Xenopus tropicalis: one gene and its partner. The protein of the gene in region 1 interacts with the protein of each later gene in a pairwise test. Links are inferred from orthologs where the notes say so. Each region holds a gene or a part of one and is shown on either strand. Other genes may lie near its edges.

Region 1 (16,307 bases):
TACCGAACTTTTGTTTGCTTTGGGTAATACTTACTAGCGTGGCTCTGTTCTGCGTTCTAATGGCGTCCCGCCTGCCCCACAATGCACAGCGAAAGGAAACAGGCTGTCGTATCTCTCTGCCCCCTTTTCCCGGCGACTGCACAAGCAAACAACTTCCGGTGGGAAACAGATATGAGTGACTTAGTTCCGCTCATCAACCCATTTATCTATTCACACCATTTAAGAGCGGCTAGTTGCACTGCAACTTTTCATATTATATATTATGAATTATTATTAAATATCTTGAGCTGAAACCTCCAATTAGACTCAGACGTGCAATCTGTGGATTGTGATAAATGCCAGAAGGGCTGCTGTAAGATGTCACAGACACTATTTATTGGGGTGATAGGGGGCTATTTGGGTATCCGCGTATAATTAAATGCCAAGGCCCCATTTCCAGTCCGCACCTGATCAGACTGTTTCTTTTAGTCTGCGCTTTTAATAGGTGCTGATTCTGACTTTATTAACTGAATTGGCAGACCGCTGGCATATGTATGGGCCCAGAATGATCAGGCTTATTTTGTTTATATATCTGCTGAATGCATTGTTTCTGAACTGCCAGAAAGCACATGCAACATTAAGTAAAATGGACAAAATGGCATCTGTGCACAAAAATGTACCCCTGCTCACTGCTGTAAAATGTAGATTCACCCCCCATTCTACCATGAATGTATGTATGTGCACATACAGGACTGGAATTAACCTGTCACTGCAGCCTGAAACTGCTGTTTGTGCCATTAGCCTAAAATTGCAGGCTGCGCTAGTAAAACCATCACATAATCTTGAGGTAAGGGTAATGGCATACACGGTTTAGTTGCCCATTGGCTTTCCCACAAAAGGACAACAACATTACCCATAGCAGCTATATATAGATAGTGCCATAGGCCACAGTGGAAACACATTGAAGAAAAACAAGATGGCTTATTCTGGTATTGGCACAATAATCCGCATTAGTCCTGTTCTTCTAGCAGCCAGAAATTGGGCATCTGGGTGAGAAGGTCACCAGCGGATCTATAACCAATATGGCCACCTAGTTGTGGCTGACATCAGGCAGATCTGTGAGGGCCAAATGATCATTGTAATAGGCGCCTGTGTAGGCCATCAGGAGAGGACCATATCAAATATCTGATGTAGTCCTCCTCCAGATGAGATTTTTAAACCTGCCCAACATCTGCCTGATATTTCACCAGATTGCTATTGGATAGGCTGTAGGACAAGACCCATAAGGTGGCCATGCATGGTAAGATCGCTCATTTGACCAGATCAAAAAGCGAACAGATATTCTCCCGATATGCCCACCTATGGGCGGGTGATATTAGGAAAATTAGATTGTTTGGCCCTAGAGCCAAAACAATCTAATTTAAAGGCAGGCATAGGCGCCATTGGTTTGAGGACTGCATGAAGGAGCCTATGCCATCCCTGACCCAACGATAAAATCAAACCTGACTAAAGGTCCCCATACACTATACGGGTGGGCGATATCGGGTAGCAATTTGCGTTAAAAAAAAATAATCCGATCATTTGGCCCTGGGGTTCGGGGACCGCATCAACGAGCCGATGCGGTCCCCGATCCGACTGGATTTTCTAACCTGGCCGATCGATATTTGGCCAATTTCAGGCCAGATATTGGTCGGCCAGGCCGCTCGTTTCTGCCCATACACGGGCTGATTAGCTGCCGAATTGGTCCAGGGGACCGATATCGGCAGCTTCTATCGGCCCGTGTATGGGGACCTTAATGGTTGATTTCAGGCCATATGTCGGTCGGGGAGGCCCATCGGAGGTGCCTATACATGGGCAGATAAGCTTCCAAAGGGTCTAAAGGCAGCTGAAATCAGTCTGTATATTGCCACCTATATTCAGGCAGCTAATCTGCAGGCTCAGACTGAACCCGCAGCTAAAGTCTGCCCCTATTTATGTTTCATTTTATAATTGCTTTATCACTGTTCCCATCCTGATTTAAAGGCATTATCATTTTCACTTTCTCACATACTGTACAGCCTTCCCTGCACTAAGCTTAGTCCCACCATAACAAGAGCACTGCAGGTAGAAGAGGCCAAATGCTAATACTGCCCCACCCTGGGAGGCTCCGTGCAGCTTCCGGCTCCACCCCGGACACACAGGGAGCCCCGGCCCGGAGGGGTAGGTATGAGGGAAACTCCAAGTGTTTGGGACACTGTGAGAGCACTATGAAGAATCCAGGACACACCGACCCCGAGGGTAGCAAAGCTGCGACAAGACCGGCCGGTACCTCGGACACAGACAGCAGTGCGTATCTACCCCCGGCCCCTATACAGCGCCCTCTCCTTCCCCTGTCTCCCTGCCGCTGAATGGCAACACCAACCCTAGTTCTGTCTTCTCGGACCCGTATCATCTGTTTCGGGTTCTGCTAATTTGTTCCTTCCCGGCCCTTAATACTTGCCGCAGGCTAACCTCTCCTAGTGTAACCGTGTGCCCTTGTGCCGCAGCCTGCTATGTCTCTGTATGGCAGTAATGTCCGTGTGTCCCTATGTGCTCGGCACGCCTTCCCCCAACTCTGTGTTTCCTGCTGCAGTGCCGCATACATACTTGTATTACTGTGTGTAGCAGGGCACTAGTATTGCCGTGTGTAGCAGGGCACTAGTATTGCCGTGTGTAGCAGGGCACTAGTATTGCCGTGTGTAGCAGGGCACTAGTATTGCCGTGTGTAGCAGGGCACTAGTATTGCCGTGTGTAGCAGGGCACTAGTATTGCCGTGTGTAGCAGGGCACTAGTATTGCCGTGTGTAGCAGGGCACTAGTATTGCCGTGTGTAGCAGGGCACTAGTATTGCTGTGTGTAGCAGGGCACTAGTATTTCTGCCCCTCTCCCTACTCTAAGCACGTTTTATTGTTTCTGTGTATTTCTTGTCCCCTCCCTGTATATTTGGAGCCGAATTCTCTATATTTCCTGGGCCCCACCTGTGATGTCCCCCTATTTGCACCCTGGTTACAATCACTTACCTTACATACGCTGGTGCGCAGGCCCCAGGCTACTCTCTCTCACTATGTACCTATAAGTGCTTCTCACTCCTATTGCAGGTGATCATGTTCAGCTGAAGGTGCCCCTCATCCAGCAGTCCTATCACTGGGATTGTGGCCTGGCGTGTGCCCGCATGGTGCTGCAGTAAGTACTTGTAGGCTCAGGAGAAAGCTTTAAAAGGAAAATGAGTGGCAAATGCCATTTTCCAAACCTCAGATTCCCACGTGTTACTGTATTCCGCCTGCATGTATGTTATAAGCATGCTAGGAGTTGTAGCCCAGCAATGCCTGGATGACCATGTGGGTCGTCATCAAACATTGTATCAGTAAATCTGTATTTTTAATGTATACACTCATTTATTACCCCCTATATAATCGGGGGCATTTCAGGGCTCAGGGATGCCCTGAAGCGGTCAGGTAAATTCTGCCCCCCTCCCCGCAATTAGTTGAGGGGGGGCTGCATCACTAGTGCTGAGATTGCAATACTGCTCTGTGCCATAGAGTTGAATCAGATTTAAAAATCAGGATTTCTTGCTCTTTAACTTATTAGTAGTGGCTATTTGCTGCCCCCGGTATATTGTAGGGCGCTGGCGCTCAAGAAGTGTTTCTTAAAGTAACAGTAACACCAAAAAATGAAAGAGCTTTAAAGTAATAAAAATATAATGTACTGTTGCCCTGCACTGGTAAAACTGGTGTGTTTGCTACAGTAACGCTACTATAATTTATATAATAAGCTGCTGTGTAGCCACGGGGGCAGCCATTCAAGCTGGATAAAAGGAGAAAAGGCACAGGTTACACAGCAGATAACATAAGTTCTGTAGAATACAATAGTGTTTTATCTGCTATGTGCCTGTGCCTTTTCTCCTTTGAATGGCTGCCTCCATGGCTACATAGCAGCTTATTTATATAAATTATAGTAGACTGTCTGAAGTAAACACACAACTTTTACCTGTGCAGGGCAGCAGCACATAATATTTTAGTTACTCTTATACACTTTCATTTTTTGGTGTTACTGTTCCTTTAACTTTTTTTTTTTAACTTGCCTCATGGCAGCAGTAGTTATATGTTAGCGCCTTATAAATACATGTTAATAATATGCAGTGAAGATAGAGATGCCTTCTGTAGTAAGTAACAGGGAACATTAAATCTTTCCAAGATTGAGATTCTTATTCAGACTCATTTGCTGCTTTCATGACACAGTATATTTAGCAAATAGTGTCTTCAGGGTTCACTGTCCCATTAGGATGATGGCACACGGGGCACTCACAATTCATTTTTTTTACTTGTGGCAATTCTTATGATTCCCCATTCCAGTGTGTTTTTGAGATTTCCCATGCCCAGTGTGCCATGACTCTTAAAGGAACTGTAACACAATTTTTTAACATTCAAAATATCCCTTCTATACACTTTGATTATAAAATATATCATACAGAAATTTCAATAGCAGCAGTGGTTTTTAAAAAAAATATTACTTTAGCATTGATTTATAGAGAACAGGCTGCCGTTTACTCCCAAGTCTCGCACCATGCTTCCGTTCAACTTCCCCCTCCACCCCCCCCCCCCTCTCCTAATTCAGGCACACGCAGCGCTACTTCAAACAGCGATGCAGACTTAGCTGGACAGAAGGAACGGTACAGTCTCTGATCCCTCTCCTCTCCCTCTCCATGCCCCAACTGCTAACAGCCCATAAATCACTCACAACAGACTCTGAAGAATGCGGCATTTAACTTCCGGATTAAACCGGAAGTCGCCGTATCGCCTTTCAAGCTCTGCACAGTAAAGCCCTGGTAATGTGATTTATTTTAAAACCCTGTCGAATATTGCATTTTTTTAAACGCTACATATCTTAATAAAATATTTAGAATGGATATGTTGAAAGTTATTTTTTTGTGTTACTGTTCCTTTAAGTTTCTCGGGAAATCACCCACGGCTTTAAATGGAACAAGCATATAAGCAGGTGTTGGCTAAGACACTCATGATGTTTTGGCCCTAAATTCCTTATTACTTCCAATCAGGTATCTGAACCTTCTGCGTGAGAATGAGTTTCAGAATGCTATGCACGAGCTCCAACTCACCAAGAGCATCTGGACAATTGATCTAGCCTATCTTATGCACCATTTTGGGGTCCGGCACCTGTTCTGCACTCAGACTTTAGGGGTCGATAAAGGTTATAAGAACCAGGTTAGTGTGGCTGTTGAGTTACTTACAGGCACAAATAGTTGGGTACTAAGTGGTATAGTAATTTTCAGTGCATGGGTTATTGGCACCTAATATGTAGACTAGAAAGCTGTTGTATTGAATAAGGTAATATTTTCTAACTTAAATATATTGTAGGATAGCTGTTGACAGGAATTATACTGTATATACAGGTACCTGTGTACTATCCAAAATGTATTCATGGAGAAATTATCACTGTAGATGTGGATACAGATCATATTCAGTGCAAACACCTAAAGGCACATATGAGTTTCCCATAGATTTGGGAATAAAATGGCAATTTTGTTTTGCTATATAGATTAGGGTTGTCTTATCCTTTATATCCTATATATATATATATATATATATATATATATATATATATATCTGTAAAATCGTGAGAATTGAGAATTAATCCAGCAATCCTGCCTTGCTTTATGGATTTTAGATATAGATTTAAAATCAGTGCATTTGTCTTAATTTCCCTTTTACCATAAAGGTTAATTATATTTACAACGCAAGTCGACATGTAAAGTGGGCAGTAGAGTGAGGTGTATAGTGCTGGTTTTTCTATACCACGGGATTAGCTGCTGCAACCTCTACATAGAGCCAAAAGTTTCATAGCATTGCTTTCCAATAGTTCTGGTTACAGTGCAATGTGAAAAGTTCTAAAGCAGAAATTATTTCAGACACTTGTATTATAGGTAGTGATATTTCAGATGACTGAGGCCTGAATGTTGACTGTCATAAGCATGTTAGGCCTTATGGAAACATGAAGGAGAATTGTTGCTTCTGTAGAAAGCTTATTCAGAATCCAGAGGGCTTCTCCTAAATTTATGGCATCAGGGATTGACATGCTAGTTCATTGGCTACTCTCTTTTCTTAGTCATTCTACAGAAAACACTTTGATGCAGAGGAAAACAGAGTGAACCAGCTGTTTGCACAAGCCAAATCCTGTGGAGTGAATGTGGAAAAACGGTAAATGTACAGCCTTGATACCCGTTATCTATTTATTCAAAATCTAAAAATTAAAGGTATCAAAAATCTTCGATAAATCATGTGCAGTGACTATAAAATAGAATGAAGTGCAATACTGCAGATAGTCTGCATCGTTACTTAAACACAACTAGTTACCGTAGGGCTGTATCTATGGAGTTCGTTATGATACTGGTTATTTTTAGCAAGTAACATGAGCTAAGACATCAGTTCCTTTCTAGAACTGTATCTAGTTTGCATTGTTTTTTTACTTGTAAAACTGGGCAAATTGTTTGGGTCTCACCCCTGTATCTTGTATCAGTGGATGGTACCCAGTGTCAGGCTTCAGCTATTAATGTTGGTGATATCTGTAAATGGTTCGCATTCATTGCCCCTGTTTTCCTTGCACAAATGCAAACTATATCATTCAGTTTTCTAGCTTGCCTGTATAATATTGGCCCTTCCACTTTGCAGCACAGTGACCATTCAGGAGTTACAGGAGCATCTTTCCCAGGGACATGTGGCCATCGTACTAGTGAATGCAGTGCTATTACTGTGTGACCTGTGCCCCAGACGTGTCAAATACTGCTGTTTTCTTCCAATTGGGCAAAAGTGTTTCTGCAGGAGCAGTGACTACCAGGGCCATTTTATTGTGCTTTGTGGTTACAACAAGAGTTCTGGCAGTTTATTTTACAACAACCCAGGATATGCCGACAGTAAGTCTTACCCATGTGTTCCTAACAATTGCATCCTTCCTGTGTGATTTTTTTTTTTTTTTGCTTTCTAAACTTACAGTAAGCTCTTGTGAGCTGGACCTCCGATTCTGTTTCCTATTCTGTAACCCTTGTTTGTTAAATTATTGCACATTGGTTTGTTTTAAATAATTATTAAATACTGTGTAACTTACAGGCACTCTATAAATAAATGATGATTGTTTGCCCTTAGGGTTGTGTCGGACCAGCATCACTAACTTTGAGGAGTCGCGCAGCAGCTATGGCACAGATGAAGATATTCTGTTTGTTTATGTGAACAGCTGACCCCTGAACTCTGCATCAACTTTTTCTCAGGATCGAGTACAGCACTCAGCAGGAACCTCATTACCCACAGTCAACGCGATATAAAGATATTTATATATATATTCTGCTTAGAAGTTAAAATTAAAGCTCACTCTTGTGGTGGTGGAGTAGTAGTAGTCCGTGGAAAATTGGACCATCATTAATTTATCCCTTGCCACTTGGGAATTAATTTAAACCAAAAATATGGCTAGGATGGCCACTCATAATGGTCTGTTGGGTTCAGTTCAACTATTAGGATGGTAAGCAGGTAGCAGTTTCAGGAGGGAAAAATGTAGAAAGGGAACAGAATTGATCATGCAGCATTTACACTGTAGCCAACTTTGCTTGGGCAACTCTGAAAGCCTCTGTAGATATTCAGTGCTATCCATAGAACTGAACGGGGTTCAGTAGAAAGGATGAATGAATTGCCCATTCTTGCACTGATTGACCACATTTGCTCTGTGTCTAGCTGCACGATAGCCTTGTACGAACAGTGCTGCTATAGGGTCACTTCCACACTCAACCAGTGACCCTGGTTAGGAAATGTGTATGTGGGTACGGTTTTAATTTTTATACTTAGATGCCAGGGAAAGGTGTTGTCCGTATGGGTACTAATAACACTATCAATCTTAATTTATAGGGCTGATCCATTAATGTCTGATGTACTCAATACTATAGGGTGTGAAAACACTTTTCTGATGCAAGAGACCACAAAATGTTAATGTACAGTTTATAATAAAGATGGTTTTATACATACTGCAATGCTTCACTTTAGTTTGTCTACTTTAGTGGTCAGAATCATTTTTTTTTAACCCAAGAATAATTTTGAGATTATCAAGACACAAACACATTTTATAAGGTTTGTTAAGTTACACTGTGTAATATTAGTGTTATTCTGGGTCAATTCTTCAATTGCTGCTATTAATATGTAAGGGCTCTTACGTGTTTGTTTTTTTTAAATTCCTTAAGAAAAATTTGCTAAGAGCACAAAACTGCTTATATTGGATTTAAACACTTTAAAAAAAAAAAAAGTTTAATCGGTGTATTCAATAAGCAAACCACCCTGAATACTGATATACATTGAAGCCCAGTGATATCATATATAAGATTAAAGGGGTGGTTCACCTTCAGGTTAATTTTTTTAGTATGTTATAAAATGGCCTATCAATCTTGGCAATTTTTAACTGGTCTAAGTTTTTTAAATTATTTCCCTTCCTCTTCTGACTATTTTCAACTTTTGAATAGGGGTCACCTAAAAAAAAAACTTGCTCTCTGAGTCAATAAGGTTATTGTTGATTTTTATTACTTTTTCTATTTAGGCCCCTTCTCTATTCATATTCCTGTTTGGTTCCTAGCTTAAACTGGACCCTGGCAACTACTGATGTGCGGGTCAGGCTGATACCTGCGGGTTAACACCTCAGCTCGGGTGACCTAACACTGCCGGATTCCTCTTCCGGCTGTCTAATTTTTATGTAAAAAATGTATGCTGCCCTGCTCCAATAACTACCCTATTCTGCACAAGGTTTATTTTCCAATGCTTTAATTACAATGCCATCCTAAAACTCTGCCTCCTGTCTTTTCAAATAAGGCAATGAGGTGATCTTCGCTCTGCACAATCCAACATGAAATGCTCCACATCTCCTAGCCTTCTGATTTCTGCCAAAACCAGTCAATTGTTGCCTACCTTTTAACAGTTCTCTGTTTTCCTCTAAATTCCTTCAGCTTAGGGTGTGGGACAGCAATACTTCAGTGTTAATTCTTTGGTAATTTACGCATGCAGCTCCTGCAGAAAATAATTACTTTCCAAAGTTGCCTGCAGGAGGAAACTTTGCGTGACTTCGAAACACCAAAGAGATGCAAAGGGATTTCCACTGGTGACTCCTACTGTTGCCTGTGGAAAGGCATTTTGCGATAGCAGAGATCTATCGCAGCCGACTAAACCACTCTGGGACATCAGCTTTATATCATCATTGAACATGCAAATTACACTGGTTTATATGTGGGGGATATCGAAATCAGTTCTCCACCGATGGTTAGGCATTAGGATTAGTAAATATACATTTGTTTATTGCATAATGAAGTCAAATGCTGTAACTGAAATTGCAGTAATAAGTTGTTCAAACTTTCTTAACAGCTTCTTTTCCTTCCATTTATTCACATAAACAGAACAGGCAGCAGGCAACTTCAGATAACACCAAAGTAAGATTCTCCCTTATAGGATATGGTGTGTTACTCTCGTATAATATTAGGCTTGAAGTCTGGCTGTGTGGCTTTAGTCAGCTCTTCAGCATACATCTCATAGCGTCCAGTCATCTGCATACAGATAAATATGTAGGTCACTGCATACTCATTTTTTCAGAGAAATGGGGCAGCGGCATATGACAATAGGTGTTCCATATCTTAGTAGCACACCCTTTAGCTGCAGGTGGGCAGTAGTAGCTGCCCATTTTGGAGATGGGAAAAGGAAATTTTACTTTATCCTGCTGAAAATGGCCCATCATGTGACATTACTTCTGGGTAAGAAAGTTAAGCACCGGCAGTTGAATCAAGCAGGGCGAGCCCTTGGAAATTTATTTGCGAACGTTCAACGCTTCACAGGCAAAAAAGTTAGACACCGGAACTCAAGTTGAATCAAGCAGGGTGAGCCCTTGCAAACTGACATCACTTCTGGGTTACATGACGTGTAAGTCGGAGGTGGGTGTACCAGAATGGGTAAAAGAATAAGGGTACGTGGGTACAGTTGGGTGCGAGTTCTCTACTAGACTTTTCACAATCTGATCAGATGATTTTTAAGAATTGGACTAAACGCAGTAAATGTTATTTCTTGGCTCTTGTGCTTCAGGAAGCTTCCTATTTTTGAGTGGACACAAACACCATACTGTGTATATATAATATATATTAAAGTATTAATGTGTGAAAAATTGTCCACCGCTCTTCATTAAAGAGTAACTCCGAGCCCTCAATTAACTTGTGAAGGATTTTTAGGGGCTTGTCTATATTTTTTTTATATATGTTACATGGCCCTTTTTATTTTCTGAACAAGCAGGTGTGTGCCAACATTATCAGAGTTTGAACAAAGGTTAAACGATTATATAACATAAAGATGCAAACACAACACATAGGCATAAATATCTGAACATACCTTGAAGTTCCATTTATCACTAGTCTGTCGGCACAGATTTAAATCCATCTCAGCCACCAGCAGCCCATCTCTTACTCGGCTGAGCCCAGGAGACCGACTCCCATCTGGGGCAGATACATAGCTAGAGCCATAGAAATGGCCAAAATCATGATGTGCTGTGTAAAAAGAGTGCTATGTTAAATGGTATATTGGTTGCAAAAGTTCGGCAAATGCCAGGGATCATAAGTGCTATATAAACACCTGCAGGTACCCCTGCTGTATCAAATGCCAGCTAAGGTCTTCACTGCTAAAACAACATATCACTGGGACTGCTCACTTCAATGTAAAGTCATCCAGTGGTGTCTAAAGAATAACAATGGCAGAAAAGATAAAGACCATAATGAGTATAGTAAGCTCACCTGAGTAGAACAGTCTACTCACGTAGATCTATGACCTTTGGTAAAAATGAAAAAGTGGTCCCTGAGAACTACAGAAGCTGGGACCAGTGATTGAAATGGAAGTATATTTAGAATTAGAATGGAAGAAAGAATTTTATTGCTTAAATATTGGTGGCAAACCCGACATTGCTTTACAGAATGACTGAATAGTTTGTGTTTTCCCCATAGTTACCTTTCTTGCCATCTCCAGATGTGAACTCATTTTCAAAATGCTCCTGAAAAAGAAAGCCCAGTGAAATAAGTGCATATAGAATGATCAACTGGGCTGTTGACTATGGTTGACACTTACTGTTCCAACACGGTTGATGGAACAAGTAAAACAGTGATTGGCGATTGCAGCATTTCTAGCTTCTATAGGCCACAGGGACTCACTGTAAGGAACCAGACACAAGGAAAAAAATAAGCACATCTGTAATACTTAGGGGGAGCACAGAATATCAGGAGTGCAACCTTTCATGATTCGCCCCTTACCTAAGCTCTCCAATGGTGGCTGAAGGATTGAAAATAATCTCTGCTCCATTCATGCTGTACATGAACCAATTGAGAGGATGGTGCCTGCCATAGCAGATATTCACTGCAATCTTGCCAAATGCTGTCTGAAATACGCGGTGTCCTGTGTTTCCCTCCATGTAGTAAGTGGACTAGGGCACAGGCAGAAATAAGTTAAACAATGTTCAAAAATAACAGAGTTCCAGACTGGCTCATCCATTTAATTTAGATATAAAAGTGCTAGTGCAGGTCTTCAACTTGCTGACTTGTGGGATCAGTTAACAAAGGTTTAATGGCCTACAGTTACAGGTTGTAAAATGCCATCCAACAAAGCTCAAAAGTTGGCCTACTCATCCATACTGGTTTAAAAAATTTAAACAAAAAAGGGGAAAAGTATGTGACAAGTCTATGAATGCTTCTGACTACATTATGCCAAAGTCAAAGGGGTAGTTTCAGATATAGGAAAACATTGGTAAATCAGTAATTTCCCCACAGTTACAAGAATAACCAGGGAAGTTAATAAGCATTCTCCCCAAATGTCATCCTAACAATCCTTAACGTCTGGCCCTCCTCACTGCTCAAAGCCCCTCGTACGGCTCAGCCACATTGTCTGGAAATCACTGAAGTAGATATTGCTATGCTACTAATAAAGACAATTTGCATTTGGCCTTTATTATGTTTATTTGTTGTGTTTTAAGAATACTGGAAAACAAGGATATATATTTCCCGTGTTAAATCTACACTACCATGGACAAGAGAACTGCTGATAATTCCTTCCCCTTGCCTAAGCTTTGGATCACTGCAAGTAAAACACATTACTTGTGGTGATCCAGTTAAACATGGAAAATGTCTTCCTTTGTGCTTTCCTGCAAGTAAAGGAGAAGGAAAGGCATTTTGTTGCCAATTGATTTGCCACAATAGTGCAAGCTACAACACTATATTTATTCTGTAGAAAGCTTTACCATACCTAAGTTAACAGCGCTAGAAGCTCCCTCTGTCATTTTAGCTTAATTTCAGTAACTTTTGTGCTGCAGATCTGTCTGCTGCAAGCTTAGATTACAGCAGAGAGGGAAAGAGATTGGAAGGAGGAGAGAGCTGCTCAGACTCGTGCTGTGCCATAAAGTATTATCCGAGAGGGGAAGTCTGATACCGAAGAACATGTGTAGAAGGAAATCCTATGTTACTTTTGATAGAGAAGTCAGTGCAGCTTTTCTGTGAGTGCTTATGGCTGCATTTACATAGACCTTTCTAATAAAGCTTACTTGGGTTAAACCTTTCCTTCTCCTTTAAGCAGGATCACTGTATGTAAGGGTAAAGATGCACGGAGTTACTTTCTCACAGCTACTAAATGCCAGAAAATACCCTGCCATAGACAATACAGAGATTTTTCTCTGCTAAAACAAATGTAGAGGCAATTATCAGTAAATGATCAGCATTGTCTATTTTTGTAGCTGTGACAAGTAGCTGCTACTAGTAGCTCTATGTGTCTTCACCCTAATTTGTTTTACTGATTTATCTCACCTCATTAAAATCTCCCACCCTTGGAATGTGATTCTTTCGGCTCTTCCCCATAACAGCTCCTGTATTTGATATGATCACAGCTGTGTTCCAAAGTGTGTCTCCGTGCACTGAGTCCCTTTCCAGAATTGGAGACACAATGACCATATTGTGCTTCTTGGCGAGCTGCAAAGTATATATGGGTTAGAAGACTCTACATACTCTGACAAAATTGCACCCTGACATGCTACAGTAATAGATATATTGTGCAGGAAGTTCCCCCTAGTCTAGTAGGTAGGATGGCAGCATGTGTTATCTGGAGGATGACACTGCTGGTAACAATCAGCATGCTCAGGGAGCTCAGGGCAGAGTGCAGTGTTCTACAGAAAGGATCAGTTTTGACTCTTGTGCTTATAAAAGTTCATTCTGATCTTCAAGGATTTGTGGTTTTGGTGTTAATGTTATTCTATAGTTGAGGACTAGGCATTGGCGATGTAAATCATGGAAGGCATGCATGAAAAAAAATCCTGCTCTAAAAGAATTTCTTGACTAGATGTATACAATTCAAATAGTGTATGAGTATATAATTATTGGTTCAACAAAGGGATGATGTTAATGGTGGGTAATTCTCATTTGTTTAAAAAAAAAATCAATACATGCAGTTAAGGAGTGCTGGCTTTTAGTTCTGCAAACTATTTCAGTATGTGGCTAAGGAGAGATAAACCAGAACAAGTTTCTCTTAGAGGTGACACTAAACTGATATCCTGTAGGATATTGTTGCACAGACACCAATGCTGTGCAAAGAAAGATCTCTCAGGTTCTGCATCCTACAAAGTTACAAGTTCAGCTCCTGTACAATCCCTGGAAATGCCTATACAGATAATATGAATAAGCCATATTTACTTCATGTAGGACCAGTAACAGCACTTACCTCCTGGCAAAATTTGGTGGTCATTCCATCCTCAGCAGATTCAGCAAACTCTGTCCAAGGAAGCTTCTCTCTTGTACAGAAAGCAAAGGGCATGGCTGGAAAAATACAGTAGGTATCAATGAAGTGGGGTGGTTGAGTGGTGAAGGAGCAAAAGAAATATAGTGATCACCAAAGTGCATTGTGAGCAGGAGAAGCACACAGTACAGGGATAGGGTCACATATAAGATGAGGGAAGTGCGAGAGCAAGGTCAAAGAAGAAAATGAGAACAAACAAGACCAATGACAATATTCAGTGATTGCAAGTAACCCATTCAATACAAACTTGGAATTTTATACATTAACATCAACACAATCAAGGAGGGAAGGGGGGAAATGTTCCCACTGTGTTTTAGTGGGGTAAAAAGCCTCAAATTACCCTTCATAACCATTAGTGAGAATCACCTAAAAATCTGCTGGGCCACAGCAGTCTGCAGTCAATATTGCCTTGATCGTCCTTAACAGTTTTTTAAAGAAGTTCACTTCAAATGTAACTTTTAGCATGTCTGAGGATTTTCCAGAATCCTTTATTATTCTCTCAATCCCTGGATAAACCAAGTTCTACTCAGTGGTGCTATACATATTCTTATATTACTACATGTGCCATTGGCCTATGTGACAATGTAAACACACTGTGCAATTAACATATTTAGACAAATAAATATAAAAATTGGTCTAATTAACATGTATTGTTAATTTAAACTAAAAAGAAAGAGTGATATATGCCCTTCAGGTAACACATATTATTACATATTTACTAGCTACGAGAGGCCAGTCCCTGAGTTAACTTCTTTCACCTGCTACAGTATAACTGTACGTTACACATTTACCTGCCTACCAAGCATATTATCTGACAGAGCGCTGAACGTCTGGATTCCTGTAGAATATTCACCTATAGGTTTCTTTGCCGCTGAGTATGTTGTGTGCTATGTGTGACTGCAAAAGACTACTGCGTCAAGATATTAAAGGGACAATTCAACTACAGATATTATAATAATTAAGTACTATACTGCAAATAATGACTTTTTACAATTTAGTTCTATTTTTTTTTTTTACCATTTTTCTAAAATCTTGGTTTTACAAATGAATTTGTTTTTCTGCCCTCTTGTAGAAATTCTATAAGCCATGTTGCGACTTTCCAAACTTTTGCTAAATAAAACATTGGTTGATACATTTCTCAGCAGCATCAGAACAATGCCAGCAATAAATGTATTCATTTTAGTTGTAACAATTTATTCAGCAATCTGGTTTATTAAAGGAAGGAGAAGGAAAGGCTTAATCACTAGGGGGTGCCAAATGTTAGGCACCCCCCAGTGACTGTAATTGCTTACCTGAAATCCCCGGCTGGTGCTCCCGTTAAGAGAAAACAGCACCGGGCATGGGTAGATGCAGGCAAGTAATCCTCTTCCTTCTCCTTTAGCAGCGATCCCAGGGCCCGCACATTTGCAGATGAGCGAAAAAGCCAGCCTTTTTGTTAGAGTTCAGCTTCTCACTCTAGCGCGCAAGTGCAAAGACCGAAGGAGGAAGAGTAATGCCTGCTCGCTTACACCCTGGCCGGTGCAGTTTTCTCACAGCAGGAGCACCATCTGTTATGCGATTACAATTATTGGGGGGTACCTAGCATTTTGGATCCCCCCAGTGATTTTAACTTTCCTTCCCCTTTAAGCTAGAACTGGGAAACATCTGAGGGGAGAAGCAACAATAATTCTTTTTTTTTTTTTTTTTAAATAAAATATATATATATATATAATTATAAAAAGTCATTATTTGGGTGTAGTATTCGTAAACTATAAGTCCTATGAACTGCACCTTTAATTACACTGCGCACTGAACAGTATAGAAACAAGTGGCATAACCAGTGACACAAATTTGCACACCGATAACAATAATTGTTCCAAAACTCTTTGGAAAAAATGCAGACCTCAGTACACACAATGCCTTTTTTAAGAAGACAGTGGGAACTTCAGTCATACATTAAAAAATGATTGCAGAGATGACCACAGTAATTTTTTAAGGACACATAAACCACCCCCCACCCCACAAAAACAGTACGTGAACAGCCTCTTTGTTTAAGGAAACAATGGTATGCATTCCTATCCCCCATTTCTCTGACTGGCAATGGGGTAAGTGGTATGCATTCCTATCCCCTATTTCTCTGACTGGCAATGGGGTAAGTGGTATGCATTCCTATCTCCTATTTCTCTGATTGGCAATGGGGTAAGTGGTATGCATTCCTATCCCCCATTTCTCTAACTGGCAATGGGGTAAGTGGTATGCATTCCTATCCCCCATTTCTCTAACTGGCAATGGGGTAAGTGGTATGCATTCCTATCCCCCATTTCTCTAACTGGCAATGGGGCAAGTAGTATGTATTCCTATTCCCCATTTCTCTGACTGGCAATGGGATTTTCTACCAGGGATGCACCAAACCCAGGATTCATTTCGGGGTTGGGCCAAGATTTGGCCTTTTTCAGAAGGATTCATATTCATCTGAATCTATCATACATTTTATAAC
Region 2 (16,975 bases), on another chromosome or scaffold:
ACTTTTTTTTAATGAAAAGACACAACTTTTCTGTGAGAGCTCAAGAATAACTAAAATGTGTTTGTGTAAATAAAAATTGCATGCGTCACTGACCCCAGAGAATAAACGAATAAACTATTTAAAAATGACAAAAGATAAAAGTTAGCATTCACTGCAATTTGTCATATAATAATGATATAAATAATGTCTACATCATTCATTAATTATGCCTCTTTAAATGCAGCCTAGTTAAAAAAAAAGCTGATAGGTCTATCAACATAAATAGTGACATCCCTGTTAATTTCAGCAGCGTGATCCTTATGAACACAGAAGCCCAAGAAAAGGGCACACTGTAAGGCGCTTCCGGGTTGTGCACATGGAGGGTCTCTGCGGGCTTGGGCACGGCGGTCCGTGCGCAAATGCGCATCAAGACGGATGCCGGTGTGTGCTCACAATCTGCGTCGGAATGCACACTGACACTGCTTTTTGGAGCCAAACGTAGGCTTTTTTAAACCCACTGTGGGAATCACTCAGTGCTTGGTTACAGGCCTAGCTTCACTGCTACTTTCTTGCTAACTCTGTATTTTTCTGCCTGAATTGGGACCTTGCCGATTTCTGGATTACTGGCCCTTGGCCTGACACTGGATTTGCATGAACTCTGCCTGCCTCTACTTTTGCTTATTAAACAATTACGCCTATTTTTCTGCCTCGGATTAAGACACCTCTCGGATTGACTCTCTCTCTTTATAAAAGAGATTGTAAGGCTTCATGGGTTACCCAAAGAGATTGTCTCTGATCGTGGGGCTCCATTTACTTCAAAAGTTTGGTCTACTCTGTGTAAGTCCCTTGGTATCTCCCTGGCTAAATCATTTGCATATCATCCACAAACCAATGGAGAAACCGAAAGAACAAATCAGACTCTAGAACAATACATTCAAACATTTTCTTACTACCTTCCTATTTTTTGTCTTACTGACATTTTTCAGTGTAGGATGATGATTTATTTGGGAAACTTAATGGACAAGGAAAGCTTAATTCACTAAGGGGAACCAAAATGTTAATCACCCACAGTGAATTAAATCATAAAGCTTTTTTCCCATTGCTTTTTGGAAAAACATTTACCAGGCCATGCTTGTTCATTCCCTAGCTCTGATCTGCAATCTTGCTGGGGTTCCCAGTGATCCTCTGTATCTAGCTAGACATGCAAATATGCAGTATTGTGACATTCACTTTCTTGTGCATTTCCAGTTCTAGCTAGATACAGTGGATTACTGGGAATCCAGGTAAGTAAGAGTGTGGTGTGATGCTTAGGTAGGAACATTAAAAGGCTGGTGCATTTTTTTCTAAAGAGGAGCAGTGATTAACACTCCAATGTTAACGAGTTAGCCTCTGAGCCAAGAGCTGATGTACATGAGTTACAAAGTGATTCATCATAATGCTGCAAAATATAATTATATAGGAGGAATCTAAGATCCTGTTTTACCAAGCACCAAACATTTTTTTAATTCTGTGACTCATTGCCCCTGGCAGAAAAAAAGAGGAGAACTCCACCCTTTGTAAAATAGAAGTCCATTAGTGGAACCAGGTACTTATTCTGGAATACCACCACCTGCTTAAAAATCAATAATAGTAAAGGAAAATCCAGACATTGTATAACTGTTTAAATGCAAAACATTTTGAGCTTACCTAGGATTTTCATCAAGTCTCTTGGCAAGCATGCAAATTAAAGGCATACACATTTTGTTGTTTGCTGGATAGTTTGTGTTTAGCTGTTGTGCAAAATGTAGCAGCACATTCAAAGACACAGAAGTTTTGAGAAAAGCAGTGTATTGATGGTAAAAACCAGGTAACATGCACCCATGTTTGTACATTCCTAGTTGTCATTATATTTTTGCAGATGCCTGTTTGATGTTATTGAATGATAGGTTCATCTTTAGATACAGGAGCACAGAATATATTTTAGTAAATAAATCATAGCTCCAGTTTAAGTTAATTATTATTATCTGTGTTACACGTTTACAATAAGATAACTTTTATGGCATGTTATGAAATGCAGTTTGAACCTATCTTCTTTGGTGGTGGACTGCAGCCCCAGCTAGGAATTTAAATGGATATTACTCACTGGAATTCACTGCAAAGTCCATCACCTCACCCCCCTCCTCATGTCGGCACCACTCTTCCCAGAATTTCTTTATTTCCCTGACAAAAGGACAGCTTAATTCATATCTTTCTGCTGAGTGGGAAACAGTCCAGGATTCCCTCTTTGGTTTGGCTTTAGGACCACATATCCTGTTTACATTTTCCTAGCTTATTGTTATAATTAATTTAAGGCCATGCACTAATAAATCTTCATGCAAGAAAAAAAGGCTACCAACTAAAATTGCAGTTAAATGTAATAGTAAATGATACCCCTGAACTATTTTAGTATGTGTTTAGTATCTGCATGTAGCACTTATAGCAAAACTAAATGGCCTTAGGCCTTAAATTGCCTGCCTTGTTGCAAACCTCAGAGCATATGCGGTCTTGTGACTTGCATAACCCACTTGGGTAACTCACTGCTTTGGAGTTAAAAATATTATTGGAGTTATTTTGTCATTAAAAGAACAACATATTCATAAATGCCTTACTTAATTTCATTAAAATGGAGGTTGAGTACACTTGTACAGCACTAAAACAAATTCTTCTTTGAGACATTTTAATGATTTTGGACTACTAAATGACTCCTGACAAATCAGTCAGAACAACTTATGTGGGCAAATTGTTATCAGTGCATTAGTGCTGCTTGCCATATGTTAAACTGACAAGCAATAAAAACCAGTGGTGTAAATATAGAGAAGCAGTTGCCACGGTCAAAGGGAGATCCAGACCGCAGTGTCTGCTTCCTCTAGTTAGGAAAATCCTCCTCCTCTCTTACCTGGTCACGGGTGGCACGGAGCAGGGTTTGTGAGTGGGCAAAAGCAGGAGGGGTGAATTTACAGGCACACCGGGCCCCCCAGAGTATTTTCTTGCAGTGGGGCCCAGCAACTTATTGTTATACCACTGATAAAAACCTTCACTCTCTGTAGTCAGGGTCATCAGACTTCAACATTATAAGAAGACTAACCCAGAATTTTAGGAAAACATAATCTCTAATTATTGTAAGTTATTATGCCTCTTTAGTAGAAAACGCTGGAAACATGTCATGTAGTAAAAACTGGAGAACGCATGGAGACTAAAGTAATACCCCCAACAGTTCCAATTTTCAGCCCATAACCTTCACAATTTGCCTCTTAAATGTCCCTCTGTTCTACCAGCCCCCTCCAAGAGCTTGTCACTAGTCTTTGAAAATGAGGCACATTATATAAAGCACTTTTACAGCTGCTTAGAGACAAATGGCCTGGGGAGAGCTTTTGCTAAGATTTCTGTAGGGTTTTGGGCAGGGGTGTCACTGTTGTGTATTATAGAATACTTGGGAGCCACAGTATGCCATGAAATGCTTGAGGACCAGACTGTACCATGAAATGCTGGAGCCACAATATGTCATGAAATGTGGAGGTCACAGCAGGCCTGATATAAAGTGCTGGTGCACCTAGTGATTTTTTTTAATACTGCCATTCCAACCATGTAAAAAAGGGGGTGATTTTGTTAACTGGGTATGGAATTTAGGGGGGGGGGGTGGCTGTAAAACAGGCGTGACAAAAATTTTGTGACCCATCTTCCATTTGGGTGGTACGATCAAACTTAAAAACCTTTACTGCTATAGAGTGTTGCTCCTTCCACACAGTGGCTGCACACCTCAGCAAACATTTTCTGAAACAGAGCTCTTTGATAGACCAAACTTTTGTGTTCCTCCTTCCTTTTGCTAGACTATTGCCTTAGTATATATACCAAATTCATACTGAATTTAGTCTATATAGGACAAAAATGCACAAGGTCTATCATGTTGTAGTCCTGTTCATGTTTGTAACTAACTATTCCAAGTTACTATGCCCTTTGATTCCAACTTGGTTTAATATATAATCACATGTTATTGTTAACTTTTTACTAAAAAAAGACTTCTGTTGTGTGTACACACTAATGCAACAGTAACATTTTCGTGTTGTTGTGCATTAGAATTTCCATATACCTTTGGTACTGTATATACTTGCAATTACAATTAACAATTTACTGGAAATTTGCAGAAGTTTAGTTTGATTATAACTCAGTTACTTGGTTTAATATATAATCACATTTGTTATTGTTAACGTTTTACTAAAAACTCAAAAGGTAATAAATACATTTAAAATTTCTAACACATCTACTGAATTGTAGACTTCTTTGTGTGTGCACACTAATGCAACAGTAACATTTTTGTGTTTGTTGTTGTTGTGCATTAGAATTTCCATATATACCTTTGGTATATACTTGCAATTACAATTAACAATTTATTGGAAATTTGCCAAAGTTTAATTTCAGTAGCATCTATTTTGGGCAGAGCCATAGTGGGGACTATGGGGGCATTTACCAGTGGTCAGATTTTTTTCTCTTGAATCAGATTTTTTTTCTCTAAAAGTTGACGAAAAAATGTCACAAAAGTCGTGACAAAACTGCAACAATTTCGATTCCGAAAATACTCCATCCAAAACTTGTCGAGATCATGTAGAAGTTAATGGCAGATGTCCCTTTCCTGGAAGATCTTTCTTTGCTTCAAATTGTTAGAGTTTTTCGGATTTTTGATGCTGGCTTTTGTTTGACATTTCGGAAAAGACAGTGACAAGCCGAAAAAACTCCAGTTTTTGTGACTTTTTCCTGTACGTGCTTTTCAGTTCACATTTTTAATAAATGGCAGACATTTAAGCAGCCTCTAAGCTGCTGCTGTGGCCTATTTAATGGGAACTGTGTCCCATGTTTTTAAATCACTGCATATGTAAAGTGAATGACCAAAATTCAGGTACTTTTGGAACTCTGGCTGTTATAGGGTTGCTTTCATATAACCTACAACTTTGTTAATAAGGGGTTCACTGATCTAATACTGGAAGCCAAAAGGGACTTTGAGAGCCAATCCATTAGCCTGATATACTTATATACCCCAAACTGGATAAAACATACATGCCTATTTAATTAATATATATAATGTTTAGTAAAGCAGTTTTGTTTTAAGGAAACATTTTTGAAATGTATAAGCATTTTTTGTGATTGCATAGAGTGTATCATTAATTTGTTCCTATAAATTAACATTGTTTATAGTTATTGATTATGGAATGCTGTTGTTTGTGTCTGTAAAATTATAATTGCATTGTGAGACTAAATGTGTCAGATATTTTCTCACTGGTCTCACTGTGTGGTTACTTTATTGATTTGGGTGTTTCAGTTGTATTTTACTACCTTGTTTGGTTTTGTGTTCTTGTTGATTACTTGTTTTTGCCTATTGTGCAGTGGTATTTTACCACTAATTACATTGTATAGGATCTATTGTCCAGAATGCTTGGGACCTGGGCTTTTCTGGATAAGGGATCTTTCCTTAATTTGGACCTCCATACCTTAAGTCTGCTAAAAATATTTAAATATATAATAAATCCAATATGATTGAAGGGCCAATTAAGGCCCTTTGCACAGAACATTTGCATGACAATGTATTGGCAACATGAGACTTATCTTCATGGTGTTTTCAACACTGCACAATGTGTGTGAATGTATTAATGCTTAACACCACATTCATAAGCAAGCTTCCCCATATGACACCTTTATGGAAAGAGATGGAGCATATCCAATATGATGTCCCTGTCACTCCATCAGCACCCCAGCCTGTGGCACATTCAATCTAAAAAGGCTTGCTCAAGTCATTGAACTGAAGTTTGAAGAAACATATGTTCTAACAAACACTCAGCCCCTGGCAGTTAAAAAGTGATCATACAAAAAATGCCTTTATGCTGGCAACACTCTCCAAAGTGGCAATCAGTGTAGATGTGGTGGTAGGCCTACAGATGGAATGCCACTTTGTAAAATACAGCAAGCAATTGGATGATTTTGATAAAACCATCCAAATCAAATACTATTACCCTGACACTAGAAAACTAGACAGTGATTTATTATATATTGTCTATAGGACACCTGTTTCAGGACCCACATTGTCCTGTGGTAAATACCAGTTGTAGTTGCTTCCTGCCATGTTGTTTGGTAACACTAATGAGGTACCATAAATTGCGGGTAACGATTATCTTGCTGCATTGAAAGGGAGGCATAACTAGCTAAAATTTTACCCATACCTTAGAAACAGTATCCTCAAGTATCCTCGAGTTCTGCACTAAATATGTTTCTAGGCTATATGTACTACTGTTAAAAGAGCCCTAACAAGCGTGCTTTTTATTTAAAGCCATGTTTTGCACTAATGATAGGACTGAACATTGTAGTGTGCTGGTAGAATAGGACTGTATTTGTGGACTTGAAACACTCTATGTCATTGTATTATTATTACTATGTAGCATCAATATGATCTGCAAAGCAAAACCTGATTTATAAATTAGTAGTTGGGGGGGCCTACAACTTAAAAATACATGCTGATCTTAAAAAACATGTATATTGTGTTTTGAAAATGTTTTGAAATTATTTTTGTGAGTTCCAAACACAAACCTCTATTATATTGCTCATAAAAAATCAGAAATTTGCTTTAAATGAAATTACTGCAATTAAACAGGGGGCGCCGCCATGCCTGCTGCCCCTGGCGGCAGCAGCCCCAGAATCACCACTGCCCTAGTTACCAGAATTTTAAAATGAAACCCAGGGACATACAGGACTGGCTGGTAGAAATGATACTTGATGCTGAGATGATACTAATAATTAATATTTTTTTCCAGAAAAATTAGCAATTTTACATATTACATATCTCATAATGGTCCCATTACTAGCATTAATATTGCACCCGGACCTGAAAGGGAATGGGGCCAAGAGGACAAAGCTTGGTGGGTCAGGGAGTATCCAGCCATAATTGTGTGTTTTTAGGCAGAACAGGGAAGTGGTCTAATTTGAACCTAATTCAATTTTTTTATACATTTTATTGGGTTTCTGAAATATATAAGTTCAGCATAAAAAAAATTGTACAGCTAGTTAAATATGCATAGTCTGTCAAAGAAAATAGCCATTGGGTATATAGTTAACAGTAGGCTCAAACAATGTCATAAACATATCAAAAAAAGGTTAACAAGTATACGAGAAAATAAAAAGGGTAAATGAGAAGTACATAGAACACTTGATTCAAAGAAAAATTAACTACAGGTATGGGATCCCTTATCCGGAAACCCATTATCCAGAAAGTTCCGAATTACGGAAAGGCCATCTCCCATAGACTCCATTATAAGCAAATAATTCCAATTTTTAAAAATGATTTCATTTTTCCCTGTATTAATAAAACAGTCGCTTGTACTTGATCCCAACTAAGATATAATTAATCCTTGTTTGAAGCAAAACAAGCCTATTGGGTTTATTCAATATTTAAATCATTTTTAGCAGACTTAAGTTATGGAGATCCAAATTACAGAAAGATCCCTTATCCGGAAAACCCCAGGTCCCGAGCATTCTGGATAATAGATCCCATACCTGTACTAAAGTAGTAGATTTTCCCCAACCTAATTCAAATATCGAGTGGTATAATATCATTATGGTAGCAGGGCCAGTCTTATAAACGGCAGGGCCCTATTGGGACCATTTTGGCGGGGCCCCCTACACAAGTTGTTGCCAGCTGGCAGAGGATTCCAGGGCTGGGGGCAAATAGTCCCTATCTCTCGCTCTATCCATGTGACTGATGATGTAACCCTGCCTTATCTCCTCTCTTTCTCTTGTTCCATTGGCTCTCAACATTTCATGGCACAATGTGGCCCCCAAGCACTGGGCACTGACACACCAAACATACTATATACAGTGTAAAGGTGGCCATACATGTAGAAATTTTGATCTTTCCTCCGACCATTGGTGCAAAATAAGGGCTAAGATTGACTATTAGGTAGCCTCTATGCACACTATCAGCTTACAGGAGGTAGTAGCTTTATTTGGTAGTAAATCTTGTTGTTATTCAACCAAAACTTGCCACCAAGTCAGGAATTCAAAAATAACTACCTGGTTTGGGGACACTGAGAGCAACATCCAAGGGGTTGGTGAGCAACAGGTTGCTCCTGAGCCACTGGTTGGGGATCACTGCTCTACACAGTGTGTACCCTGGAGCAGCAGTATGAATGCATTGCCCACTTTGTGTTTAACGTCTCAGAACACATAGAAGCAGGCAATCATTGTTGGGGGAGGGCTGGACAGCTTTATGTGCTTATTCCTGCAGGTGCAAACCAAATAGGTCCAGTTGGCCTAAGGCAGCCCTGTTTGGTAGTGTACCTGTACTGCACATTCGCCTTCATGAATAAACAAATATCAGCCACTAATATAAGGTCCATAGGATGCAGCGATGTAATGTAAAGATGCCAGTTCAGCAATATGCTAATAGGTCGATAGCAAATACTCAGGCTACAAAATAAATACCTTTCTCAAAACAGAGGGGGCGCAGGACAAGCCGCTGGCTGACTTAACTCCACAAAAGCAATCTATTTGCAGAGCCCCAGACAATAGCTATGTTTGAAAACCAAAAAAATGGGCAAAGCGTGGCCGGATTATTCCGGCTGGCAGCGCTACCCATACTTAGCAACCTTCCCACACGCGTCTGCTCTAGTGACAACGCCTCTGGCGCTAGCCAATAGCGATTCGCCACTAACGGGGGCCGCACAAAGGGGCGGGGCATAGAGCGCTACAAACCAACACACGCTCTCACCCTGCGTGGCCAGTGTGTAACCTGCTGAAGCGCTCACACGAGTACTTATTGCTGCTACTGCTGATCAATGGACGGCTTCCAGGAGGGGTTCAAGCACTTCGCCACTGAGGCCATACACGCGGGACAGGAACCCGAACAATGGAAGTCTATGGCAGTCGTACCCCCCATAACCCTCTCCACCACATTCAAGCAGTTCGGACCAGGGGAACATGCGGTAGGTACGACTGGTTACGGCTGGACAACTAATAGATTAGGCTGCTATGACCAATAGAGTTGACGTTTCATTATTTTAGACATGCCTCACACTTTCTAGCTCCTGAGAAAAGTTTCTTTTATTTCTGTTCTCTCCACTCCCAACATTGTACATTGCTATAGAATGTACTTAGTAATATTTTTATATTATATATAACTTAAATTGTAATTATAATACGCCTATGGGAAGCATGTAAACCGTAGATCCGTCCCCAGTAGCATTTCAATAAGTGCCAGATGCTTCCACTGCCCAGTAGCCATGGCCCTTTCTTCAGCGTGCCATCCAGGTGCTACAGTAAGGCATGTGATGCAATGATCTAGCAGCCGGTCAGCTGGGGATTTGCTTAGTCACTGTAATTCTGAGGAGTGACACAGTGTATTACATGCTGACTGGCTCCCCCGTGGGGCAGAAATGTTACTTATCATGAAACTATATCGCTGTGAGCTCACCTTTCATTTACATAGCTTGGAGGTCGGTTTTTTTTCATTTGCATGTAGTAAAGAAGATTGAAATACATTTATTTTCCTTAAATATTTTCTAGATTTTACCGTAAAAAGTTGCTTCTATATATTATAAGAAGTATGAGACGCCACCTGTATTTGGTTTAGTTTGCCTTGGGTTTCATCCTTGTAGTTTTCAGAATAATCCATTGCTGTAATAAGAAAATATATTTAAAAGATTACAATAAGTTTATTTTTGATACATTTGAAACCCCTATTACAATAGGTTATTTAAAGATCCTAATTTGTGTGTATTAAAATATGGGCATGCTGCTTTATAATTGTAATAATGGCAAGATTGATGATCATTATCCATTTATATGACAATGAATCACTAGGCAATAGTGATGAGCGAATCTGTCCCATTTTGCTTTGGCGCAAAATTTGTGAATCTCTGTAAAGATTTGCAAAAGGTGAAAATGACAAGTGTCAAAAAAAAATTGCTGCACGCTCCTTTTTTTTTTTTTAGACACGCAACAATATTTTGTGTGACGATTATTTGTTGTGTTGTAACTTTTTTTTAAAATTTTTTGCCGCCAATTTCGCAAAGAAAATCCGCAAATGGCAAAACGCAGAAATTTGCTGCAAATCCATGCCTGGCAAATTATTTCACCCATCACTACTAGCCAAATTTAATCAACCTTATCTAGAGTCTTGAACTACCTCTCCTCCTTCTCTTGAGTATTTTTAGATGGGACTGAAGAGGTATTGTGTGCTGCTTTCAGTGTTGTCTCAAGCCTTTGCAGCAATGCTGTATTACAAGGTTTCTAGCAGAAAATTTTCACTCCTGTAAGTTTTCACTGCAAGCGCCATCTAGTGTTACAAAGAAGAAATTAAAAGAGGAGAGGTAGTCCTTTAAAACCTCAGCCATAAGCTAAGCTATGTTCTCTCAACTGAACTGCTTATTTATTTATTTTTTTATTCAGCAGCTTACTCCAGAAATTCCCAGTTGAAGTGCCTCTGTATAGGTTGCGCTCACCATCTTTAGACCACTCGTTGTCACTTCCAGCGCTGATAATTGATGTGCGTGCACAAAGTTTTTTTTTCTGCTATATGACTCCAGCACGTCATACACCTCTGTTTTTAAGTTAAAAAAAAAAGTGATCATAGTGCACTTGCACAGAATTGCTAATCAATTTTTAGTTAATGATAAAATAAATTATGCAATGTGAAAGAAATATAGGGTTTCAAAGGCGGCCAGAGTGCACATTGCCTCTTAAAGGAACAGTAACACCAAAAAATGAAAGTGTATAAAAATAACTAATATATTATGTACTATTGCCCTGCACTGGTAAAAGTTGTGTGTTTGCTTCATAAACATTACTACAGTTTATATAAATACCCTGCTGTGTAGCCATGGGGGCAGCCATTTAAATTGAAAAAAGGAGAAAAGGCACAGGTTATTAAGCAGATAACAGATAAGTAGCAGATTCCCATTGTATTCTACACAGTAATCTGTTATCTTCTTATGTAACCTGTGCCTTTTCTCCTTTTTTCAATTTAAATGGCTGCCCCCATGGCTACACAACAGCTATTTCTATTAACTATAGTAGTCTTTCTGAAGCAAACACGCAACTTTTACCAGTGCAGGGCAGCAGCACATTATATTTTAATTATTTTAAAACATTTTTATTTTTTAGTGTTACTGTTCCTTTAAGAAAGAACAGGGAGTGGAGTAAAATGTGTACAGGTTGCAGCAGTTTATGTGAGTGCACTGTATCAAGCTAGATAAAGAGCCACATAGGCTTGATGCTTCTCTGTGCCCAAAACTCCTAAATAAAGGCATCTGCTTACTGGAGTTCATATGGGCTGGTGCATTGGAACACTAACAGCTTTGCACCCAACACTTATCTGAAAGCAGCCAAACTCTCAAAAACTGACTTTTCCTGCTTGCTATAGCAAATGATGGCAAATGTTTTGGTTATAGGAGGCGTTTTGGTGACAGATGAGGTCTACTTGCCAATATTCTAAAATACCTTTTATTTGTGCTGGGATTCTAGTTAGGCCCATACAAATCTACATGATTTATTAATTTGTTTTTCCTACAATATGGGTAAAGCTAAATGGAGACACAAATGTAAATAAATAAATATATATATATATATATATATATATATATATATAATTTTTTTTTTTTTTTTTTGAATTACAGGGGTATGAATATAGTCGCAGTGGAAACCCAACAAGGAATTCTCTGGAAAAAGCAGTTGCTGCTCTTGATGGTGCCAAGTACTGTAAGTTTATTAGAATAATTTATTGCTCCAGTCATAACCAACTTTTATTTGTTTGAACATTACAGACAAATTCCTTTACTTTCAAAATGTTTTGAGGGTTAAAAACATACTATAGCATTTCTTAATGTTAATGAGTACTTGATGAAACATGGCCTCATTTTAATACTCTAAGGGGCATATTTATTATAGTGTGCAAGCCAACATCACCGGTGTTGTTGCCCATAAGAAACCAATCAAATCTTTGCTTTTGTTTTCTAATTTGCAGATGAACGTTCAAATGTTATTGCTAACTGGTAGCTATGGGCAACACACTGGTGGTGTTGGCTTACACGCTATAATAAATATGCCCCTAAGGGGCATGACACTCATGGCACATGTGACATATTTCAGATGGTGTAGAAGTTCTTGAATGTAATCATGCAGCTTGTCATTTACCTGAAAGCAATCCATTTGCCACTATCACTAGTGACTGGCAGGTATTGGCCAGAAAACTGCTGATTAACATTAACATGTTGATTCTATTGCCTCTATTAACTGATGAATTTTGCTCAAAGGTTTATCCTATGCTTCTGGTCTGGCTGCCACAATGAATATTGCCCATCTTCTGAAAGCTGGAGACCAAATCATCTGTACTAAAGATGTATATGGAGGTAAATTAAATCATCCTATAATCCTATACTAAATCAATATAATGTTAAACAATTTAAATTTTTATTCTGTCCTTCCAATGGTATTTGTAAGGCTTAGTGTAAATGCTGTATCACCAATAAGCATAAAATATGGTATTGTGTATACCACAATTACACCTTAGAATTGATGAAGTAAAGGCAATAAATAGTTATGGTTTTTATACCACAGGCACAAACAGATATTTTAGAAGAGTAGCATCGGAAATGGGATTGAAAGTGGCTTTTGTTGATTGCTCAGACCTAAAAAGCTTAGAAGCTGCTATCGCTGCAAACACCAAGGTAAAATAACCTGTTTGGTACCTTAAATTTATCTAAATGCCAGAACATTATTTATTAGAATATAAGGGTTAGCTTTAAATATGTTAAGGTGGCAACCCTACAAATCTTGCCATTATACATGTTGAGCCTGGGATACTGTCACAGGAAAACAAGTTTTTTTCAAAATGCATCATTTAATAGTGCTGCTTCAGCAGAACTCTGCATCTGTTGTTTTAGAAAAGCAACTTAGAAAAGTGACTTGTGCTCTCATGAACTTTACTGCTGCGCTACAAGTTGGAGTGATATCACCCCCTTCCACTCCCTCCCAGCAGCCAATCAGCAGGACAATGGGAAGGAAGCAAGATAGCAGCTACCTAACACCTGCATTGCTAAAAATATTCCCATACCCCACCTAATGATAGATATGATAACAGCGCAATGCACAGTTGGCTGCCTACTCACAAATATTACAGCTAAAAAAAAAATACATTTGTTGGTTCAAGAATAAAAGGTAGAGTAAATTATTTGCAATGTAAAGAGTGTAATTTAGAAATAAAAAGTACACCATAAAAATCCTGACAGAATACTTTTTATAGCATAGGGCTGCTGGCTTTAGGGAGTAGCGCAATGCTATATAAAGTAGAGTTTCACTAAAGCCTTATGTGCTTTATTAATTGTTTTTCATTTTGTTATACGTATTAGCAATTTAAAAAAGAATGATGTTATTGTTTAATTTTTATTTTTAATGCCTTTATTTTAGCTTGTATGGATAGAAACCCCAACAAATCCAACTTTAACCGTGATCGATATCAAGGGATGCGCTGATATTATTCACAAACATAAAGATATTATTCTAGCAGTGGATAACACTTTCCTGTCTGCCTATTTTCAGGTATGACGCTACTTTTCATAGCATCTAGTTTGATATTTGCTTTTTAGTATCACCATGTATATCCTATAGTGAAAAGCAGGCTGTCTATATTAAATGATAAGTAGGAGGTTTTGAATTAAGAAATGCAGTGAATAAAAGTTGTTGTTATTTATAAAGCCTTACCTATTCATGTTAATGCTAGGTGTTTTGACAAAGCCATAAATTATCTAATGGCAACACTTATTTCACAGTTCTGTCTGTATTCTATAAAGCAACTTCCTTCATATACACATTCTTCTGACTTTGTCATATTTTAACGAACCATATCTGGATATGATGTACACCTTGTCTACTGTGTGTTAGTAGAGGCTCATGCCATAATTATGTGCTAACTGTAATAATGGGCAGCATTTAAGTTTTAGGGGCCTCACATGTGGCCCCTAAATATTTAAAAGGTACATACAATATGTTGTAGGTAATAGAGCAATTCAGTATACCTTTTAATGAACCGAACATAGCCACATTTTCTATCACAGCAACCACTTTTGATTTTTTTTTTTTTTTTTTTTTGAAGTTATTCATATTTCAACCCCAGGTTGTTGGGGCATCAGTGGCTTAAGGTTATCAATCACCTGCAAGTTTTATATGATAAAATTGCAGTCAGTCTTTACTATATCTGTTTATAAATAATTTCTACTTTAGTTTATAACAAGTGTTGCATTGCTGTGCACTCCATAAGGTCATTTATGTGCAAAGCCTAAATTTGCAACAGTAGTACCTTGCAGTCATTGTTCCAGAGCTGTAGTTGTTTGGTCTAATATTATGTTTGCTTAAGTTCCTTTAAATATTTGCAAGACTTTATAAAAGTGCATATATTTGCTTTTTTTAGCGTCCCTTGGCTCTAGGTGCAGACATCTGTATGTATTCTGCAACCAAATACATGAATGGTAAGAAACAATACATATGCATTTCAGCCTTTCTTTTTCTTGTGCTAAGCCAACTTGGCAAATATTTGTAAATATATGTTGGGGGTTCTTAATGGAAGGGTTTGTTCATTTGGATTCGTAGTAAATGAGTAAAACTCAATTCTACTAGATACTGTATATCATGACCTGGATGAATGAAAATCTTCATGGACATAGAGGAACATTAGATTTTGTGGTGAAATTATTTCATGGTCATTAATTGTGAACTAGTTTTGTTTTTTTTTGTTTTTTTAAAAGGGAGGTATCCTAACCACCCTTTCCCAGGAATACCTTAATTTTGGCTGTTACTGCAGCATGGAGGCCTTCTAATGTGCACTGTAGTTTAGCTCACCTAAATACTGTGAAGCAAACCTTTTTATATTGGCTAGAAAGAAGAATTTTTCAATTAATACAAAGAATGTATTGCTTATTTGTTTCAGGCCATAGCGATGTTGTTATGGGGTTGGTGTCTGTTAACTGTGACAAGCTGTATGAAAAACTAAAATTCCTTCAGAATGGTAAGTGAGAAACAGCTCAGGAATCCAAGCTCTCATTTCCGTTCAAAAGGATATTTTCTTTAACTATCAAGTGACAAACTACCATAAAGCATAATTTTGATTACACATCAATTTATTGTTCTGCTGTACAGTGCTAGATACATAAGCAGCGCTATATAAATAGAACATATATTATATATATATATAATTTTTTTTTTTTTTTTTTCAACTACATTTTTTTGCTCATCGACCACACTGAAATCTTTATTGAAAATTTCTTAGCAGGATCTGTGGAATGTTAGCAATTATTGTATTAATTATAACAGCTGCCTTTAGTGCAGCTCTGAGATGCTAAGTAGGACCAATGATTAGAACTGTATCAACTGATATATCCGATTAGAACATTTTAGTCATTGACACCCCAGAGTTGCTCTAGTGAAGCATAAGAAGGTGAAAAATTAAAGATCTTCACTACAGAAATGATAATTGCCAAGAATAAAAAATATTACACCTGAAGTAAAGACCTTTTTCAGTCTAAAAACACTGAACTGAAAGTGTTTGGAAGGTGAACGACCCGAAGTCAGGTTATCAGTCAAGATAAAAGACAAAGGTAGCTTGGACATTCTTAACACTAAATGGAGGGTGGCAGGAAGAAACATCAGTGGTATTCATTATGAGAATATAGTGGCAAATGCCATCTGTTTTGCACCTATAGTAGCTTGGTAAATATGGAGACCAATAGAACGCATCTATGCTGGCAACATATGATATTTAATTTTGCCTACTGCTAAGTCTGTAACTACTCAAGACTTATTGCAGTAACAGTGTACAGTGTGCTTCTTTAAAAATGAGTACAATTAACAAACCATTTTACTTTCCAGCAATAGGAGCTGTTCCATCACCCTTTGATTGTTATCTTTGCAATCGGGGTTTGAAGACCCTTCATCTGCGAATGCAGCAACACTTTCAGAATGCTTTAGCTGTAGCAAAGTTTTTGGAAGCAGATCCTCGTGTAGACAAAGTTCTTTACCCAGGTAAGTTTTTAAATTTCTAAGAAGATGATGTAAGGTTGTACACTACTCTGAAGAACAGTGAATGTCTTTTTAGGAAATATTTTGTTTGTATATATGAGCATTGCTGCATGAAATGATGAAATCACAATCATCTCAACAATTCTGTTTAAAGGGGTAGTTCACCTTTAAGTTAACTTTTAATATGTCATAGAGTGGTCATTTCCAAGCATCTTTTCAATTGGTGTTCCTTATTTATTTTTTTAAGTTTTTGAATTGTTTGCTTTCTTTTTCTGCCTCTTTGCAGCTTTTAAATGGGGGGTCCAGCAGCAAAAAAAGCTATTGCTCTGCGAGGCAACAATTTTATTATTGTTACTTTTTATTACTTATCTTTCTATTCAGCCCCTCTACAATTAGGGGCTTATTTATTTAAGCTGTGTAAAACGAATTCGAGTAAAAAGCTGTGTAAAATGAACTGAAAAGATCGCCGTCCGAACACCAGATTTATGCTGTTACTTTACATAAGTTCCAGAGAAAGAAAAATGCGTAAAAAAATTACGCCGAGTTTGCTCTGTTTTTTACACAGCGAAGCCTGGATATGTGTGGCAAATTTCTCGCCGTTTTTTACACAGCATAATAAATATGCCCCTTAATATCAGTCACTCTCGCAAACCACTACCTGGTTACTAAGGTAAATTGGACCCTAGCAACCAGATATCTGCTGAAATCCCAAACTGAAGAACTGTGGAACAAAAAAAAATAATAATAAATTGAGAAATTACCAATAATAAAAAAAATAAATAAAGACCAATTGCAAATTATCTCATAGTTGCACACTCTACATCATACTAAAAGGTAACACAAAGGTGAACAACCCCTTAAAGTGATAAGACAACGCCACGCTACTCTGACATTCCTGCACAGTTCAATCTCATCTGTTTTGCAACAGATCTAC

What was found.
Region 2: the proteins of gucd1 (region 1) and cth interact in binary tests that used the Homo sapiens proteins (3 or more experiments, as listed by UniProt). The two-hybrid records come from large-scale screens. The link is inferred for Xenopus tropicalis from reciprocal best matches to the Homo sapiens genes GUCD1 and CTH.

What each region holds. Positions count from the first base shown.
Region 1 is NC_030677.2:152,589,754-152,606,060, reverse strand, and holds gucd1 (protein GUCD1), read left to right. Parts: upstream 1-2,225; coding exon 2,226-2,304; intron 2,305-3,094; coding exon 3,095-3,179; intron 3,180-5,049; coding exon 5,050-5,215; intron 5,216-6,116; coding exon 6,117-6,208; intron 6,209-6,679; coding exon 6,680-6,921; intron 6,922-7,150; coding exon 7,151-7,242; 3' UTR 7,243-8,017; downstream 8,018-16,307. Other genes in the region: upb1 (beta-ureidopropionase), read right to left, coding at 9,490-9,573, 10,403-10,557, 11,012-11,054, 11,129-11,210, 11,311-11,480, 12,850-13,011, 13,757-13,851.
Region 2 is NC_030680.2:82,687,357-82,704,331, reverse strand, and holds the start of cth (cystathionine gamma-lyase), read left to right. Parts: upstream 1-8,773; 5' UTR 8,774-8,810; coding exon 8,811-8,957; intron 8,958-11,648; coding exon 11,649-11,730; intron 11,731-12,284; coding exon 12,285-12,380; intron 12,381-12,588; coding exon 12,589-12,698; intron 12,699-13,437; coding exon 13,438-13,569; intron 13,570-14,437; coding exon 14,438-14,495; intron 14,496-14,953; coding exon 14,954-15,031; intron 15,032-15,891; coding exon 15,892-16,044; intron 16,045-16,975. UniProt on the Homo sapiens protein: Catalyzes the last step in the trans-sulfuration pathway from L-methionine to L-cysteine in a pyridoxal-5'-phosphate (PLP)-dependent manner, which consists on cleaving the L,L-cystathionine molecule into L-cysteine, ammonia and 2-oxobutanoate.